Mus musculus: one gene and its partner. The protein of the gene in region 2 purifies or fractionates together with the protein of the main gene of each other region. This does not show direct contact. Links are inferred from orthologs where the notes say so. Each region holds a gene or a part of one and is shown on either strand. Other genes may lie near its edges. The genes, in order: Canx and Gba.

What was found.
Region 1: the proteins of Gba (region 2) and Canx purify together in Homo sapiens (affinity purification with mass spectrometry; 3 studies listed by BioGRID and IntAct, with this or other methods). This does not show direct contact. The link is inferred for Mus musculus from reciprocal best matches to the Homo sapiens genes GBA1 and CANX.

The regions. Positions count from the first base shown.
Region 1 is NC_000077.6:50,297,964-50,301,775, reverse strand, and holds part of Canx (calnexin precursor), read left to right. Parts: coding exon 1-18; intron 19-721; coding exon 722-878; intron 879-2,431; coding exon 2,432-2,647; intron 2,648-3,539; coding exon 3,540-3,659; intron 3,660-3,812. UniProt on the Homo sapiens protein: Calcium-binding protein that interacts with newly synthesized monoglucosylated glycoproteins in the endoplasmic reticulum. It may act in assisting protein assembly and/or in the retention within the ER of unassembled protein subunits.
Region 2 is NC_000069.6:89,201,454-89,205,993, reverse strand, and holds the start of Gba (lysosomal acid glucosylceramidase precursor), read right to left. Parts: upstream 3,067-4,540; 5' UTR 2,908-3,066; intron 2,803-2,907; exon of another isoform or gene 2,634-2,802; intron 2,523-2,633; 5' UTR 2,508-2,522; coding exon 2,453-2,507; intron 2,010-2,452; coding exon 1,818-2,009; intron 1,720-1,817; coding exon 1,573-1,719; intron 548-1,572; coding exon 414-547; intron 203-413; coding exon 30-202; intron 1-29. UniProt on the Homo sapiens protein: Glucosylceramidase that catalyzes, within the lysosomal compartment, the hydrolysis of glucosylceramides/GlcCers (such as beta-D-glucosyl-(1<->1')-N-acylsphing-4-enine) into free ceramides (such as N-acylsphing-4-enine) and glucose.

The DNA of each region.
Region 1 (3,812 bases), on a different chromosome or scaffold from region 2:
AGAGAAGCCAGAGGATTGGTGAGTTTGAGGTTGCTTTTGTCATTACCTGGTTTTTGTTTTAAAAATTTATTTTTATGTGCTTTGGTGTTTTGCCTTAATGTTTGTCTATGTGTCAACTCACTTGGATTTGGAAGAGAAGCCAGTGTTCTTAACTGCTAAACTGCCCCAATTAAAATCAAGCATTTAATCCCAGCAGAGGCAGGCAGATCTCTGAGATTGAGGCCAACCTGGTCTACAAAGTGAGTTCTGGGACAGCCAAAGCTGTTACACAGAGAAATTCTGTCTTGGGCAAACCAAAATCAATCAATCAATCAATCAATCAATCAATCAATCAAAGCAATAGCTATGTGCCCCTCTCCCCCAACAACAACAACAACAAAAAAGAAGCAAAAGGGGAAAAAAAAAAGCTGGGTATAGTAGTACATGCCTTCATCTCAGCACTCAGAGGCGGGTGGATCACTGAGTTCTAGGACAGCCAGGGCTACCAGAGAAACCCTGTCTGAAAACCTAAAGGGAAAAATAAAAAGCCAACTGCCCAAGTTTGAGTGAAAAACCTTACAAACTTTACTAAATTTCATTGGGTAAAAACAAAGTAGGTAGTTTATGAGAGTGCATTGATAGTGGAAATGAGAAATGAGATATCGTTCTGTCATATGCTGCTGGTATAGCTCCAGAAACATGTTGAGAGCATAAGACTAGTTGTTTGTTTATACCTCCACAGGGATGAGGATATGGACGGAGAATGGGAGGCTCCTCAGATTGCCAACCCCAAGTGTGAGTCAGCCCCTGGGTGTGGTGTCTGGCAGCGACCTATGATTGACAACCCCAATTATAAGGGCAAATGGAAGCCTCCAATGATTGACAACCCTAACTACCAGGTTTGTGTCTCCTGATGGTTTAAGTGTTTTTATTAATTTGTTCGTGTCTGGGCAAAAGCTTGATCAATAGTAAGGCCAGCAAATCAAAAAGAGAAAGTAAACTTAAGAGACAGGTGAATATTGGGCTAAACATAAAACCTAAAAAACAGGAAAGAGGAGTGTTCGAACTTGCTATGTGACTATCTTAGTTTGGGTTTCCATTGCTATGAAGAGAAACACCATGACTAAGACAACTCTTAGAAAGGAAAGTAATTAAGGCTGGCTTACAGTTTTAGAGGTTGATTCCATTGTCATTATATTGGGAAGCATGGCAGCCTGCAGGCAGCAGAAGGGGACTCTGCCATATTGGGCAGAGTTTGAGCATACAAGAACTCAAAGCCTGCCCCAACAGTGACATACTTCCTCCAATAAGGCCACACCTAATAGTGTGACTCCCCATGGTCCAAGCATTGAAACACATGAGTCTATGGAGCCCATTTCTCTTCAAACCATCATAGTGAGCTATATCTAAAAATAAAAGTAGGGTAGAAGAACTTAGGGTGTGGATACCCTATTGTTGAGTGCATAGATTGGCTATAAGGGAACTGTGATGGGAATTGGATCTTGCCAAGTCAGCTAATTGCTTGGTCTCATCAGTTTTCTGCCAAAGATAGGTAGGTACATATGAAGCGGTAGTAATATGTATAGTGAAGCTATGAAGCTCCACTTGTGTTCTGGGAAGGTACCAATGTAGATCCTTCCTGGCTTCAGTTTCTAAACCAAAAAACTATAGTCATAAATTTTCGCTTACACTTTTAGATGTATGGTGCATCTATCTATATGTATATATTTTGTTTGCTTTTCTGTTGTAAAATGTTTTTAGTTGTCCATTTAGATAACTGATCAAACAAAAATTATACTTTAGCTTGCCATTTGACTATCTGAATATGTCTTTGTTACATGCTTGTCATTCTAGCACTTGGTTATCTGCATGAGGACCAGGAGTTGAAATGTCAACTTCAGCTATAACTAAGAAGATCAGGGATAGGTTAAGGCTATCCTGGGTGTATGAATCCCTGTTGAACCAAGCCAAACCAAACCAAACATTTAGCTATTCGGTTGGCCACCACCAATTGTGTTTTGTTGAGGATTAGTATTGAGACTGAATCCAGTGTCTCATGCATATTAGGTGTAAGTGCTGTGTTTCTGGCCTACATCCCTAGCCCATTTTTTAAAATCACTTCTGGGGAATGGGAAATGGCTTTACTGACTACATTCCACCATCACTTGTTGAGGGTGGAGTGAGCTACGCAGGACCAGGTGTTGGTTCAGAATAAGATCCTGCAGATTGGAGACTGAATTTGGTAGAAGTCAAGAATTCAGTATAAAAACATTACTAGCATTTATTGTTCTGTGCTTGTTTAAATTTGGCAGTTAATGTTTATCTTCTTTGATCATATAAAATGAGTCTTACATAGATTTTCTTTTTTTGTTATTATCTGAAATGATGTTTTGAAACTTCTTTTGTCTCTGCCTCACCCCCAACCTACTCCCCTCTCCAAATCACAAACTAGGGAATCTGGAAACCAAGGAAAATACCAAATCCAGATTTCTTTGAAGACCTAGAACCTTTTAAGATGACTCCTTTCAGTGCTATTGGTTTGGAGCTCTGGTCCATGACATCCGACATCTTTTTTGACAACTTTATCATTAGTGGTGACCGAAGAGTAGTTGATGATTGGGCCAATGATGGGTGGGGCCTGAAGAAAGCTGCTGATGGGGCTGCTGAGGTTAGTGATTGTTCATTAATTGTGGATTTATATCCACTTTTGGGGGAGACTGATTACTTTATAAAAAGCAGATTTTTAGTGTTTATCTTTTTACTTATTCAGTGTCAAAATATATAATTGTTAGACTCCTATTCTGGCTTTCCAATCCTGTTATATGTATGTGTATATTTGTATCTGTTTATCATTTTATTTTATTTTATTTTGTCTTCAAGACAGTTTTTCTGTGTAGCCCTAGCTGTCTTAGAACTTGCTCTGTAGACTGGGAGGGCTCAAACTCACAGGGACCTACCTGCCTCTGCCTCCAGTGTTTCAATTAAAGTTATGTGTTATTGCACCTGGCTTAAGTATGTTTTAATGCACTGAAAATGCTGAATCTTGGTTGGAATTGTGTGGAATTTTCAAATAACTAATGGTGTTGTTGAGTTGCGATTTGGATGGCCAGAAAACTGGCAGAAAGATAATTCTTCTGTTTCCTGAGTAAGGAACTTTTTGCAGTTATTACAAGCCACAGTTTGCACCTATGCAGGTGAAACTTCATGATGATAAAAGCAGTAAAGCGGGGGATTTTTTTTTCCCCCTAATTTCTATTTTTTGTTTTGTTTTCTTTTAACTTGGTTTTTCGAGACAAGGTTCCTCTGTGTCTCCCTAGCTGTCCTGGAATTCACTCTGTAGACCAGGCTGGCCTTGAACTCAGAAATCCGCCTGTCTCCTAAGTGCTGGGTTTAAAGGTGTGCGTCACCCACCACTGCTCGGCTTTTCCTAATTTCTTAATGTGCATAGTTTGACTCCTTTGGAAATAAAGGAGTTAGTTGTATGAATATGAAGCAATCAGTCGAGTCTGTATTTGGTGTCATAAACCAGTTCTCTGAATTACTGTTGTTTGGTATTTCAGCCAGGTGTAGTGCTGCAGATGCTGGAGGCAGCTGAAGAGCGTCCATGGCTTTGGGTGGTCTACATTTTGACTGTAGCTTTGCCAGTGTTCCTTGTGATCCTCTTCTGCTGTTCTGGAAAGGTAGGAATGTCTAACTAAATAATTGTATCCACTGAGATTTTCTTTAGTGGTAGTTCTGTAAATACTGGGCCGTGTTTTACAGGGGCTCTTTGTACCCAAATGATGACAGGATTTAGAGTCCCTTAATTGTCATTTCACTCTATTCTTCTCCTT
Region 2 (4,540 bases):
CAGATCCCAGGGCCCTGACGATCCCTTACTTGACAAAGTAATTGGCCCAGGTCTGGTGAAAGATATCCCCTGGCTGACCCTTGAGCGACCCCTTCCCATTCACTCTTCCATTGGTCTTGAGCCAAGTGGGTGATGTCCAGGGACTGGCAAAGAGTGAAATGGGGCGTGAGGACATCTTCAGGGCTTGGTGAATCAGGGGTATCTGGAGACAAACAGTGAAGAGAGAGACACCCAGAGCTGGAACACATACTAGTTCTACCAGTGCATCAGGTCCAACCATCAGCCCCCACCCTCTTACCCCCAAGTCAAATAGGCTGCAGAATGTTCCATGTTGCTCTAGAGACAGCTCTAACCTGGACCTTCCCAGCCCCAAGACGGCAATCCAATAGGGCTGAGGCAACTAGAATGCCCACCTTGAGCTTGGTGTCTTCTTCTGGGAGGCTGAAGTTGGATAACTGGAAGTCGTTAGGGGTGTCAGCATAGGTATAGACACGGATGGAGAAGTCACAACTGGCCATGGGTACCCGGATGATGTTATATTCAATTCCTGCAGGAATTGATGGCCAAGATAGGGAGATCTGAATCAATAGGAGACTATGGAGCCAAGTGTACCATGCCTGTGATCCCATTCCTCCTGAGGCTGAGGCAGCCAGATCAATGTGAGCAGGCCAGCCAGGGCTACAAGGCAAGACCCTGTCTCAAAATAAGATAAGATAAAATAAAATAAAACAAGGTGAGTATGAAAATTGGCTTTAATCAGTTATTAGTCCTCAATAGGCCCTCATTCAGAGCCAGGGTCTAGGTGTGGGCTTGTGGAGACCAGAACCTAAGTGAAACCGAAGCCCCTCTGCACATGTATTTCCTAAGTACTTAGCAGAATATTGAAAAAGGTGATCGTATTTCAGTGGCACTGAGTCAGGAACCATCGGCCTGGTACACTTGGTGGCATAATACTTGTAATTCCAGCACTTGGAAAACTAAGTCAGAAAAGAGTTCGAGGCTAGTCATGGCTACAGTGTTCGAGGCAAGCCTGGTAAAGCAAGGTAGGGATGGGACAAAGGGAAAGAGTAAGAACTGAGAGGCAGGCTGGGGATGTAGTTCAGGTGGCAGAATGCCTGCCAAGGATGCATGGCGCCCTAAGTTTGAGCTCCAACACTGTGTGAACTGGGCTTGCTAATGCACACCTGTAATTCCAACACTCAGGAGACGAGAGGCAGGAGTTCAGCCATCACTGACTACACAGTAGATTTGTCTGGAACACATGAGGTCTACTCCAGGAGCATTACAGAGGCGAGGAGAGAAGAAAAGGAAGGGAGGCAAATGTCCGGGAAAAGTATGGAAGCAAGAGCAAAAAGCCTGGCAAGACAGCTCCGTGGGAAGACCCCCGACTCTAGCCCATGGGTCCCATGGTGGACAGTGGACACCCGAAAATTGTCCTCTGACCTCCCCCTCACTCATGCACAGCACACACAAGAGATAATGAAATGTAATAAAAAATTTAAAAATAAAATAAAGCCAGGGTATGAAAAGGGGCATAAGTTACAGTGTACCACCTTGCTCTGCCCTCCTCACCGTTGGTAGAGAAGTAGGATCTGAGTAGCAGCTTCTGAGTAGGTGGGGACAAAGCAAGGATGTTGAGCGCAGTGGCGTCTGTCATGGCGCCTCCAAATCCTTTCACTTTCTGGAACTTCTTTTCTGGCTGCAAAGTGAGTAGTAACCCTGGGAAAAGAAGAGGAAAAGTCAGAGTCCAGAAGAGGACATGCTGATCACTGGTGTGACTTTGGGTCCAGGCTTAGAGGGACAGATAAAGTGGCTACCTGTGCCAGTGCGATTGGCCTGGATGGCCCCGACACTCAGCTCCATCCGACGTCCACGTCGAGTGCTCTCGTAACGGCTGAAGGTACCCAGAGCCGGTAAGGTCACGGGGTCAAGAGAGTCACAGTACGATGCATTACAGACACAGACCACTGAGCTGTAGCCAAAGCTTTTGGGGATGCAGGGTTGGGCACCTAGGAGGCAGGGCACAAGCAGAGGCAGGCATCAAAGCGGGTTTATGAGGGAGTGGGCATGCTAGGTACGAGACAGAACAACAATTAAAAAAAAAAAAATCCGGGCTGGTGAGATGGCTCAGTGGGTAAGAGCACCCGACTGCTCTTCCAAAGGTCTGGAGTTCAAATCCCAGTAACCACATGGTGGCTCACAACCATCTGTAACGAGATCTGACGCCCTCTTCTGGTGTGTCTGAAGACAGCTACAGTGTACTTACATATAATAAATAAATAAATATTTTTTTAAAAAAATCCTTCCACCATACTCCCAGCCCAAAGATGTCTCAGGCATTCTAAAAGAGTTACAGAGTCCCTACTGAAATTTCAGCACCATAATGGAAGGCTACCAGAGGACTTTGGGGGCAGGGGACACCTTCATGCCTCCATCTCCATCCTAGACTCACCATATGCCCAAGATACCGCCTGAAATAGGAAGAATCCGATGAGCCTGGCAGCCATGACACCAGCACACTTCTGAGAAGAAAATGTAGAGGAAAGATAATAGTGTAAGACTCTCTCTACCCTGCAACCACCCTCCTGGCCAGAGTTTAGCTGCCTGTGGATGCTCACAGCATAGGCTCCCACCTTTATTAGTGATTAGACAGTGCCCGTAGACCCTGGAGGCGTCCTGCATTCATTCACTCTGCTAGGGAGTTTGCTGCCCACTCCAAAGAAGACTCTCTTCACTCTTTTCCCCCATCGATTTCAACCTTCAGCCCTCCCTCCATCTGTGCCCTCAAAGAGCCATGATGCCCTGAATTTAAAAAAAAAAAAATTGAACTCACCGAATTCCATAATCTAGATAGGCAGAATTCCCGAAGCAAGATTGACAAGGCAAATTGTAGCCCTGCCCGCTTACCTCTCCAGAAGATCTTGGAAACTGGAGCTACTCAGGACCAGCGAATGAGAAGACTGTGGAAGTTTCTGTGCCTTGGAGGGATAGAAGACCTACCAAATAAAACACAGACAGATATCATAGCTCTTGGAACCGACTAGCACAGCAAGTTCCTTCCGGCTTAAAGGGGCGGACAGAGTCACATGATGACTAAGCCGGTCACGTGATGCAGGAAGTGAAGCAATCGAAGCCATATTTGTAATGGGCAGTTGGGCTCTTCTAGGTTAGTCATTCATTGCATACCCTGTGAATTTTGGGGAGGCCTAAAGGATGACACCTTTAGGAAGAGAATTCTAACAAGGATTGTATGGACAGCTGAGTAGAGGCTCCTAAATCCAAGACAGAGAGGACTTCTAGCCTGTGAGGGCCACTGTATTCACATGCACATACCGACACACAGATATACATAATTTAAAAATAAAATTTAAAAATAAAAACAAGGGGCTGGAGAGATAGCTCAGCGGTTAAGAGCACTGACTGCTCTTCCAGAGGTCCTGAGTTCAATTCCCAGCAACCACATGGTGGCTCACAACCATCTGTAATGGGATCTGACGCCTTCTTCTGGTGTCTGAAGACAGCTACAGGGTACTCGTCATATATATAAAAAATAAATAAATAAATATTTTAAAGAAAATATTTATTTATTTATTATATGTAAGCTGTCTTCAGACACTCCAGACCTCTGGAAGAGCAGTCACTGCTCTTAACCACTGAGCCATCTCTCCAACCCCAAATAAAATCTTTTAAAAAAATAAAAATAAATAAAAACAAAATTTAGAAACCCCACATACAGCCTGGAATTGGTGGCACATGCCTTTAAATCCAGCACTTGGGAGGAAAAGGCAGGCGGATCCCTGTGAGTTCAAGGCCAGCCTGGTCTATGGGGCAATTTCCAGGACAGCCAGTCCTGTTACACAGGGAAACCCTATCTCGAAAAACAACAACAAACCCCACATACACACAATCTTTATCCTAAAAAGACTAGTGAGACACATGAGTCAGACACTTACACGGAGTTACAGGCGAAGACAGACAGAAATGTTGAGAGGTATACTTGCAAGACTCCTTGAGAGGAAAGGGGACCCTTCCCAGAAGAACAGGCGGGGGGGGGGGGGGGGGGGAGTCACAGTAAGTGCAGGGAGTTGCTGTCGGGCTCTGGAGATCAGGACCAAGGGAGGGAGTGGTCCCCACTGGCCGTTTCTGGATTCTCTTGCTTTATCATCAGATGCTGGCTGGAAAGCTCTTCATCCTTCCTCCCAGGAAACTGGAAAATGCTGTCTGTCTTTGGTGGACACAAGAAGAGGGCTGTCGTCCGGGTTTCCTTGTGAGCCACAATAAAGTTGATTAATTGGCAGTGACACATGCAGCGTGATCTGACTAAGTCCAGGTCTCTGAGCCTGTTTCCACACTTGCCCAACATAGACACCAGCATAGTCTCACAGAACCATTACTAGCGTTAGCAAGAGAAGTCAAGGGAAGTCTGAGCCTGTTTCCACACTTGCCCAACATAGACACCAGCATAGTCTCACAGAACCATTACTAGCGTTAGCAAGAGAAGTCAAGGGAAGTCTGTAATTACACATTAGGAGCTTTATGC